Drosophila melanogaster: one gene and its partner. The protein of the gene in region 2 interacts with the protein of the main gene of each other region in a pairwise test. Each region holds a gene or a part of one and is shown on either strand. Other genes may lie near its edges.

Region 1 (3,318 bases), on a different chromosome or scaffold from region 2:
TGAGATGAAAATTCCTATGAAAAATCTAAAAATATATGACCCCAAGCACCGACAGTACATTAGTAATAGAAAGCTAGGAAAGTAAGGATGTTTTAATATTGTTATACAGACAGTTGCAGCGGAGCAAGAATTTAAATTGCGCGCCTTTTTGATACTTGATACTCTCATAAGGCGTTTAAATATACATATCACTCCTTTCATTTCTAAAAATATTGAAAATTAACAAGAAGTATTTATTATTATAAAAAAATATTGAAGCATTTACAGAAATGTTGTAATAAATGTACTAAAAGTCAAATAATAAATGAAATAAATACTTTTTGAGATTTTATTTTAAAATTTTTCGCGTGCGATCAATAATTATAGTTACTTTTCTTGATATTTGTTAGGAGAAAAGTGTTTTTGGCACCTTGTGTACCATAACGAATATATTCTTATCTTGTGACCTAAAGTTTAATTAATTTTATTGCTCGAAAAAGCCATCATAAATTAAATGTGCTTTTCTTGGACATTTGAATTTGTATGATTTTATTTCTATTTGCCATTTTCTACAGGCTTCTACTGGATACGATTTATTTCGGGTGCTTCTGTAAGCGTAACACAGCGAATTTGATTGGCTAATGGTGAGTGAGTGTTCCGATAACTCGGTCCTCAATCATGATTGAGGGCCAGATGACGCTTGGCGTCGATGGTGGAACGGCCATAGGTGTTGCCCACACGAAATTTGTTGCCCGGAACGTGGCCGCCGTAGCGTGGAATCATGCCTACCACCCGCGGATAGATCACGCCATTGGGATTGGCGAATGAGCGGCCCACGCCTGCCTTCTCCACGGGCACCCATTCCGCGCTGCGGATGAAATGCATGTCGTTCTTCGGGTAGCACCATCCCTCATCCGGCAGATGGAAGTCGAAACCAAATCCTAGAAGGGCATGTTGACACATTAGATTAATAGATAAGTCATGGTTGAGCTTTTAACTTACGGCTGGAATAGGACATGTTTTTTATTTCCGCAAAAATTGTTGATCCTTTCCGAGTGTTGCTGCTTAACTGGGTAACTGGAAACTGAATTTAACTATTAATAGCTGGCCTGACAGGAGAAGCTTCGACAAAACGACCCCGTTTCCCATGACAACGGAGGCCAGGATTGGACGGATTGCCTAGATGGCAGCAACAAGTTAGGTCACGACACCGATTTGCATTTCCTGATGCCGTATTTTAATGGCAATTAATTCGACTCGTCGTAACAACACAATTACCGTGGCATTTAAAAGAGTTATGGGGTACGTTTTATTTTATTACGTTTACTGGTTTATGATTTAGTCATTTACAGGGCGATTGTATTGATTAACAAGATGGAAGGTCTCAGGGCCGGAAAGTGCACTACGTCAATGATATCCTCGCCTCCATCTCCTTCAGTTTGACTTCTTGGCCTTCTTCTGTTGCTTGCTCTTCAGTTTCTCCTGCTTCTTGAGCTCCTTTTCCGTCAGGGATTTGTACAGCTTGTAGCCAAAGAGAGCTGTAATGCGGAAAGAAGGGAGACGGTTAGTAAGGTGACGTTGATACATTATGCGATCAAGGGAACTGAGACCGAATATGGAGACCAAGAGAAAGATCACTGCCGACACTATGGAACTGGAGTAGGTCTGTGCGAAATGGGCGTGCTGCACTATTCGCTCCTCGATTCTGCCAATCGTCTGCTGGAACTTGTCCTTCATCTCGGCGAGAAACACATGCCGATCCGTTTCGGCCAGGGACTCCAGCTTGCTCTGCATCTCGCCGATCCGCTGGACGAGATCCTTGGAGAACTTGCTGCTGGGCCCAGTTTTGGCCACGATCGACTCCACGGACTTTTTCAGCTGCTCAATAACCCCGAGCTCGTCACTGGAACCCGACCAACTCATGTTTTGGGTTGTTCGGAAAAGGGGCTAAGTGGTGTGTCAACTACAGCCCGGCATGGGTCTCTGGCAAATACTGCTCTTTGGATTCCACTCTACCTATGTCTGCGGTGGATCCTACGCTTACCACTGGTTATCTTATCAAAAATCGAACGCTTTTAAACGAAGCAAACATTCTAGCTGTGGCTCGTGAGCGAGTGAGTGAGTGCTTCGACATAGCCGCCTCCTAAAACCTTATCGCCCTTTAAGCAGAAACCCAGGTGGGTGCGTATATCGCGCCCGATAAGGGTTATACGACTCGTTAGTGGCTCGTTCCGGAGGACGCTTACCAAAGACAATGAGTATGAGGGCCAGCATCACGAAGAACACCAGGTACTCCCGGGAACTGTGGCCCGGATGCCCGTACTGGCGCATGAAGTCCTCCGGCGACGGCGGCTTCGGGTTAAAGATGCTCTCGCGGAGCTCGGCTCGCTCGTCGTCCGAAATTCCCTCCATGCCCTCGACCAGCTTCCAGATCTCCTCGGCACTGGGCATCTTAAAGTCGGGATGTCCGGGCTCGGGACCGGCAAAACCGCCGGCTCCTCCAGCCGCAGCGGCAGCTGCCACGTCCTCAGCGAATGCCTGCTGGTTCACCGGATCCTCAGCCATGATCTAATCTCTGTTTGGGGCTTTAATTTACGGGCTGGGTTCTGTGGGCTCTTTGGCTTTTAGCGGTTCGCGTCTGAATGGATGGTATATAGGAAATCATGGTATTCGGTTTATGGTTCTACTTTCTGCATTTCAGCATGCTATTGGGGGGGCAAACAAAATCACAGAAACAAACAACGTGGCAAAACAAACGAATCGAATTCGAAAATGGATTTTGATTATCTATAACACAAGTTTGACACGCGGCATGCAGAGATAATAACGATTGTACAAATCACATAAACTACGATATTTAATCCCCCCCAAATCGCACACTTTCCAATATTAACTAATTTTGGCGCTAGATCGCCGGTGCTTACGTGCTCCGGCTTCTGCTGTTTGGGAGGACTGAATGAGTCTCTCTAAAACTTATATTAAAATCAATATAATTATAAGCCGCCACTCGTGTGTAATCAGTCGCTTGTATTTCATTATTCCCAGATATGCCCACTAGTTAACTTTTCGCTGCGCTTTTCGTTTTGCCTCCTGCCTTCGTCAGCATATTTTCAAAGGTGATCGCAAGAAGTTGGCATTGCGGAGAGCATATGTGTGCATATGCGATAAGGGAGAGCCACTAATCAGTGCCGGACACACGAGTACATAAAGACAAAACCCCAGTAAAGAGTGCCGTCCCATTCGCGAGCGATAGATGGCTACAATGTTACAAGATGGCCACCATATAAACGTCTACAGTTTGAATTGTTCAAGACGAACATCGCGAACTGATTTTATAGA
Region 2 (7,766 bases):
GACACACCAAAAAATGTTAGATTATAAAATTTTAAAGTGGAATTATGACAAATCTTGTTTTTGCACCTTGATAATCTCTTTAAGTTTTGATGACGACCATAACAATCAAATAAAATTGTTCGACAGTAAATCCAATTAGTGTTCTTAAGACTGTTGTTAAAGCTATGTAAGTTTTAAATGGTACAAAAGGAAAATGTTACTGTGGCTATTGTTGCTGTTGCTGCGTCTGATGATGTCTCTTCTCTCGAGCTCGTTCGATATGCCGCTTTCGTTCTTCTTTTGTCCAATAACGACCTATTTTTACTTCAGATATTGTATCGTCTTCCGTCGTGGTAACCTCGTTGTAACGCATATTTTTCCGCAATGCAACTTGGGGTCGATTACGTACTGGCCGTTTTACTATGTACCGCGTTCCATCTGGTCGCCTTTTAACCTTCCATACCATGGGTATTTCCTCAGCACTTTCACCGTTAAGCAAAGTAGCATTTTTTTGTAAGCTTGTTGAAATATGACATCTGTTTGCAACCTTTACAAAAGTAATCAAAACTTTTATTTATAGAATATGGGCAAAAAAATATATTCAATGGAATATGAGAGAGATGGAATATGAGATACATGTATATACTAATAGATTTAATAGATTTGCAAGCCTACTTATATGGTATATTTGCCCTTTGAATTTTATTGAAAATGTACAATGTTTTTAGAATTGTTCTTTTTTTGATGCATAATTTTTCACTAAAAATCGATTTAAAACCTCCTTTCATGTGATCTCTTATTGGAATGATCTTAGAAAAAAGTTGAATAAAGTAGTAAATAGTGGTAAAAATATGTATTTTCCTGACCTGTTGATCCTTACATGTTTTAAATTTTAAACCCATAGAAAACGTTCAGTAAATGCACTTATAAGAAAATTATTAAAATATTTTCAATGGATGATACTTAATTCATTAAGATGTGTAACATTCAAATGAAATCTTAGATTTAACCGTCAACTGTTAAAATCATTGTCATCCATTCGTTTTAATCCCCTACTAATACCATTTTACCCCATATGCACATACATTAAACTTGTACTTACCTCTTGACTACTAACAAAGTGGTAACTACTCAAATTTGGGGCGTTAAACTGTGGACAATGACTATAGGAATCATCAGTTGGTTTAACTCTTAGTATTTCAATGTCGCTTTTAAGTGGATGAATTTCATTTTCAGACCCAACGTTGGTATACCGCTCTGAAGTGGAATAATGTTAATGGTAATTAAATGAAGTTCACGATATATCGTTTTCAGTTTGTAAATCTTATAATAAGACGTTCAGTTAAATGTTACACAAATTTGAAAATGTTAATTGCTTCAGAATTTTTTTTATCAAGGCAAAAATGATAAATCGTTTTATACCCGTGGAGAAAAGTATCTAACAGGTAGAAGAAAGCGTTTCAACCATATAAAGTATATACATATATTCTTGATCAGTGTCAATAGGCGAGTCGTTCTGGACATGAACGTCTATGCACGCCCACACTTTTGAAAAATTTTAAAATTTTTTCTTATTGTATTCCCCCATATTTATTGATATCCCAGACAAATTATGAAATTTCGCGTTCGCATTTACACTAGCTGAGTAACGGGTATCTGATAGTCGGGGAACTTGACTATAGCATTCTCTAAAATGGCGTTAAAATGGGCGGGTCCAAATTTTTTGACATATCGATAGAGAGAATCACTGCATGCTGTCCCAACTTTATAACTTTTATAGCTTCCGAGATCTCGACGTTTTTAAGGACACAGGGGCATGGCCAGACAGACTCGTCTAGTAATCAATAATATATATTTACGTCTTATTGTTTGAACGTTGGTACTGGTTCACTTTCAGAATCTTATGGAATGGCCTCATAGGTGTGCGCGCAATCACATTGCAGATTTACTTATTTTTGGCTTAAAGATTGATTGAAGCTTTTTCTATAATCCAAGTTTGCATTCGGTCGAAGCTTTATTTTACTACACGACTTGTTAGATTGCTCAATGATATTTTTCGCCAATAAAGATATTTTAACATTTTAGTCAGATGAGTTTTTTTGGTGGTATATGATAGCATTTGTCAGATTGAATAGCGGACGTAAGTTAAGAAAATCTTATCAAGTTCATCCACTACATTTGTATAGTCATCTGGCAAAAATGTATTAGCATACTCAAAATGTATATCTTCGACATCATCGTCGTCCTATAAAAATTTGTTAAACCATTTACACCTTTGAATTTTATACTTTGATTAATAAAAATGGTTTCTATCGATTCTCAATGGTTAACACAACTGTAGGCACTTATTTTCGATAGATAAATAATATTTTGTCTACAATTCCTCAACCTACACTGCGTCTCTTTTTGTTGAATCCAATCGGAAAAATATTTATCATTAACATATTGACTTTTCCAGTTAAAATATAAGCCTTTAGTTTCAACTTTCTAGCTTTTATATCTACCGACATCTCGACATCCGTAAGGACAGAGGGACATGACCAGATAGACTCGTCTAGTAATCAAGAATTTATACTTTACAGGGTTTGAAATTTTCTTCAACCGTTTACTAGCTTTTTAACGAGCCTAGTACCATTTAATTCAAAGTTTAAAAAGTAAAAGGTGAAGAGCTTTTAAAGTGGAGCACGTCTGATATGTCAGACGCTACGTACTATCTGCAACTAAAATATAATTGTTATGCATACCGCTGACATACGCTGTAGGCAGATTGGAAGAGCAGAGACCAATACGGCCAGACTTGCCGAATGGTAATAGCAACATAGTGCTTACACCTGTGGCATCCAAATGATCATTGGGGCTATCAATAACAGTACTATCTAGCTTGCGACCAGTGGCGATGGCTTCATCAGGATTTGTAGTATTTTGATGGGGGGAGGCGCTATTATTAGAATCACCAGTGTTGTAGGCACTTGAGGAGTTATCGACCTCTTCGCCAGGAGCCGCGGCGTTCCCTGTAACAACATTATTTTGTCCATAAGAGCTGTATGCCACTCCACTACTGCTGGATGCGCTTGTGTTGGTTAAGGTGCTACGCAATGTAAAAACACGACTACAAGTAGGTTGCTGTACTAATTTCAACGGCGGGGGTCGACCAACTAGAGTTTGTCTAGTTTTCTGGTATTGTGGCTTCAAGCCCAACCACTGGGCGACTCTTTGAGTTTGTTGTTGCATTGTTCTTTCTAATGATTCGGCCGGTCTCGATGCTATTGGAGATGAACAACCTATTGACGTCTTGTCGTTTGAACGTTGGTACGGTGAACAATACACTGGTTCACTTTCAGAATCTTCTGGAATGGTTTCGTAAATGTGCTCGCTTTCATCGTACTCATATTGCAGATGAACTTCTTCTTGGCTTAAAGGTAGATTGAATTTTTTTTTATAATCCAAGTTTGCATTCGGTCGAAGCTTTATTTTACTACAGGACTTGGTAGATTGCTCAATGATATTTTTCGCCAAAGAAGATATTTTAACGTTTGAATCAGATGAGTTCTTTTCTGGTATGTGATAGCATTCGTCAGATTGCATGGCGGATTTATTGGATAGTTCTTCCAAAGACTTGACGTGAGTTAACAAAACCTTATCCAATTTATCCACTACATTTGTATAGTCATCTGGCAGAAATGTATTAGCATACTCAAAATGTATATCTTCGTCATCATCGTCTTCCTATAAAAAATTTGTTCCAAAATATTGCAGCTAGTTAAAATATTTACAGTTTTAAACTTTATACTTTGATTAATAAAAATGGTTTTATCGGTTATCAATGGGTCACACAACTGTAGGCACTTATTTTGGATAAATAAATAATATTTTTCTACAAATTCTCAACTCCCACTGCGGTCTGTTTTAAGAATACAATCACAAAAATATTTACCATTAACATTATTGACTTTTCAAATATTATACATATCGCTATGGACTTTATAGTCCCAACACCCATCTCATCTATATGGAATGTGGGTATTAATAGTATTACTAACCTGGTTAAGCACATATTTTATAAAACGAGTTTGAGGATTCATGGAAAATCGTTAGTAAGCGTATGCGAATTTGACCGTAAGGTAAATATATATATAAAGATATACTCCAAACAAAACCATGATTTTAAGTTACGAGATTGAAGGCGGTTACTCTGAGGCAACAAGTCGAAATCGGATCTAAATTAAAAACCAGAACGAACAATATTTTTTTTAATTTAATGGTGCGCATTTTTTAGCGTATTAAATTCTACAGTGGTATAACCCCTTACTATAGTTATGAACTAAGTGTTTATTTGGGAATTTTTTTTTGGTATTAGAAATTTCGACTTACAGGGTATAGAATTCGACTAACTAGTAGCGTTACTGATGTACTACTCCTGGCTATCTGAGTTTCTAACTCCTCCTGGTTTTTAACATCCAAGCCGTTAATACGAAGAATCTGATCCCCCTGTCGCAGGCGCCCATCACGATAGGCTATACTTTCCGGTTGTACACCACTGATGAACACATCCTCACTATGTTCTAAAACGTTACCTAGTATGTCACCTTTATTCGTGTCGGTACTTGATTGCTGAATTCCGGAGGAGGTAACAATGAGCCCGATTTGATTGCTGCTTGACTGTTCAACACCTTTAACAAGCGTTACTTCCTGTTGATTATAAAAAAATACTATTATTTTGAATCCCAACACACATATCTAAGCAACTGACAGTTTTAGGATCTGTTATAAATACATCGGTTTCAATAATATTTATGTAGACGGCGAGAGTAAATAAACCACTGGCGTACAAAAGGCAATCACCTTATACCTTCCAAAAATTTTTATTTATTTTATTTGATATTTTTTGCTTTCTCGAAATTTGTTTAAATATCATTGTGTGCAAATACTTAGCAAGTGACAGTGTACACACAACTCCAAAAAATTTTAATAATAAACTTTGTGAATATTAATAATAACTGTTATGCCCGTCCGACCGCTCGATCATTCAAAGTCTACAGATGGCTTGTGTTGGTATATAGTCTCTCCTCAACGAATATAACAAAACTGCAACATACATATGTATGTACATATGGAGAATATGAGCATTTAAAATTTCTGCACTTCGCAAGGGCAAGGGTTGAATGTGGGCCCGCAGCCCAAGCAAACGCTACACAAATGCTCATACAAACGCAATTTGTATTTGCATTAAATAAGCATAGAATGGGTCTTAAGTGTATAGAGAAGTCGCCATCGCACATCGCGAAGACAGACCAGAACAGTTTTGTGGTACTGCTGTAGTAATGTATGGTAAATACCTCAATGTCGATTTCCGGTTCCAGGCATTGTTCGAACAAATGGTGTTCATGCTCTATGAAGTTGTCGGTAATTGTGTTAACCAAATCGTTATCCTTTAAAACGTCCGTACCAACGACAGATTGGGTTTGAGTTTCCTTCGATGCGGCTTGTAGACTTCCCAAACGATCCTCATGACTTCTAGCCCGAAGAGTTAAAACCACAGGAGTTTTCGTCTCGATTTCTTTCAACGATGTTGAAGATGGGCAATTTATTTGTTGAGAGGCACTGGCAGCTGTGATCGTCCCTTCTGCTGACTTGTCAGTTAGGACAGAAAGTTCTCCGGGATTGTCCACTTTTGATATTTTGGCATTGGAGCCATGTTTTAATTCTAAATCTAATGCATTGTGTTTCTGTCTGCGTATTTCTACGACAAGGGTTTCTTTAGATTGAAGGAACTTTTGAACCGCTTCATACCTCGACAAATGACTAATATCGTAACCGTTTATCTGAAACAGAATATGTGCATTTTGAAACGCTAAAAAACAGATTTCACACGAATGGAACTATTTATGGTAAAACGAGAACTCGGTTCTTAGTCCTACTTTATATTGAACTTACTTTTAACACAACATATTCGTACTCCACGTCGGCAATACTCATAGTGATGCTTAAAATCCAAAACTCATATTTATTTTCATTTAATTGTATACATATTTTTTCGAAAGTGTGGCCAAACCTTTTGTTTTCATTTATATCATTTACGTATTCTTTTTGATAAAAATTGTAATCGATTCTCTTAAGTAATCGTTTAATAACTCGCAACGGAATGGAAACCGTTAACGGATTGAGAAATCATAGCAATTAAAATTATCCGCTCGTATAAACGCATATTTTCAGACTGTACCAATTTTCAATTCATATTGTTGAATATAAAGTTGAAGTTGATGTAATGAAATTGATAATATAATATAATATTTCAATGGCTTAGGCATTGATAACCACGAAAAGCGGAGGTGCCCCTTGACTAAAAAGAGTTGCTATAGAATGGTTTTTGTAACCACTATTGTTTGATACGCACCTGTCATTGAAGTTCTTGTCGTTTCGTATCAATTTTGTGCTATGTAAATGAAATGGAAATGGCCTTAGTGACTTAACTGTGTGAACACAATATAATAATTTATTTCCGATACTTTTATCTTGATCTATCGATGGATGCGTATTTCTTAAAGCATACACATATACAATTATATAGAGCTTAAATAGCCGGATCAATTCGTATTTAAGGTTGTATGATGGTTAAAACGGGAAATCGCAGTAATTTTTATTATTTAAATAGTAAATTTAAACTTCAGTAAAAATATCCTAAATAATGTGAAGTGTCAAGAGCCAGGTGGACATAGCCATATCCGTACGCCCGTTTCTCACTAAATCTTTCTAAAAGCCTTTCTGTTGCCGATACTATGCATACTACATGTATGGCAGAAAGACCTCGACAAAGGGGAACATACATACATATCTTCTTTTTTGTTAGAAAGTGTTTTATCTCGGTATTGAACAGTTTTCGACCATATGCCTTGGAAAAGTCAAATTTTTTCTGTTCGTGATCATAAATAGATATTATTCAGTATAAGCATATAAAAATCGGCTTGCCGATTTTTGTTTATTTCCTATATTATACCCATTACTTGTAAAGTAAAATCGTATATGTATTAGATTCGCTGCAATGTATGTAATTGGTAGAAGAAACCGTCTCCGATCATAGAAAGTATATGTATGTAATAGGAACGCATCGATCCCATTTTATACTCACATGTTTCCAAATGTTTACACGCTTGTTCTAACGACCACGAACCGCCCAAAAACTGCCAAAAACAATTTTAACCAAATACCTACAAATCGTTCAAAACTGTAACGCCCATATCAATTTAAACACACATAAACCCTATGTAGTATATACATACATATGTATGTGTCTAGATTAGAAAGAAACACCCATCCGAGTTGATACTTCCGTCTGCCCCTATGAATGTTGTAATGTCGGGAAGCACTCCTCTGGCTACCAAAAATTAGTAATGTAAATAAAGGAGAGGTGGGCTAATTTGATTCTAAGGTTATATATTTCTTTTTTATTGCATTTGTTTTCGGTTTGGACATCATATAGTGTCCAAATCCCGAAGTTCATTAACTAGTCTCGGAAACCTTTTTGTTCACCTGTTATGTTCTTTTTTAATTTTTAATAACCCCCTTACTTTACGAGTGAAGAGTATAAAAGAATTATAAATACTTTTTCAAGAATTCAGGTTAATATAATTATTCGATTTTATGATAGAATCTAACGTTCCGCTAACCATTTAATACAGCAAACCATATTTATTTTCAGATCAAAAATGACAACACACGATGAGGCTCAGTCATACTTCTCACGTCTTAATTCAATTTCCGAAAAAATTACCTGCGATCTCAATAAAGTT

The links. Proteins that work in one complex are often made in the same cells at the same time.
Region 1: the proteins of Slip1 (region 2) and CG18336 interact in a two-hybrid assay, tested with the Drosophila melanogaster proteins (one large-scale study listed by BioGRID).

What each region holds. Positions count from the first base shown.
Region 1 is NT_033778.4:11,293,269-11,296,586, forward strand, and holds CG18336 (uncharacterized protein), read right to left. Parts: upstream 1,319-3,318; 5' UTR 998-1,318; coding exon 982-997; intron 921-981; coding exon 652-920; 3' UTR 508-651; downstream 1-507. Other genes in the region: CG42336 (uncharacterized protein), read right to left, coding at 1,414-1,902.
Region 2 is NC_004353.4:661,890-669,655, reverse strand, and holds the start of Slip1 (SLo interacting protein 1), read right to left. Parts: upstream 6,036-7,766; 5' UTR 5,956-6,035; coding exon 5,914-5,955; intron 5,802-5,913; coding exon 5,316-5,801; intron 4,669-5,315; coding exon 4,351-4,668; intron 3,706-4,350; coding exon 2,724-3,705; intron 1,237-2,723; coding exon 1,082-1,236; intron 527-1,081; coding exon 206-526; 3' UTR 1-205. Other genes in the region: CG46466 (uncharacterized protein), read left to right, coding at 7,683-7,766. UniProt on the Drosophila melanogaster protein: May selectively reduce calcium-activated potassium channel (Slo) currents by reducing the number of Slo channels in the plasma membrane.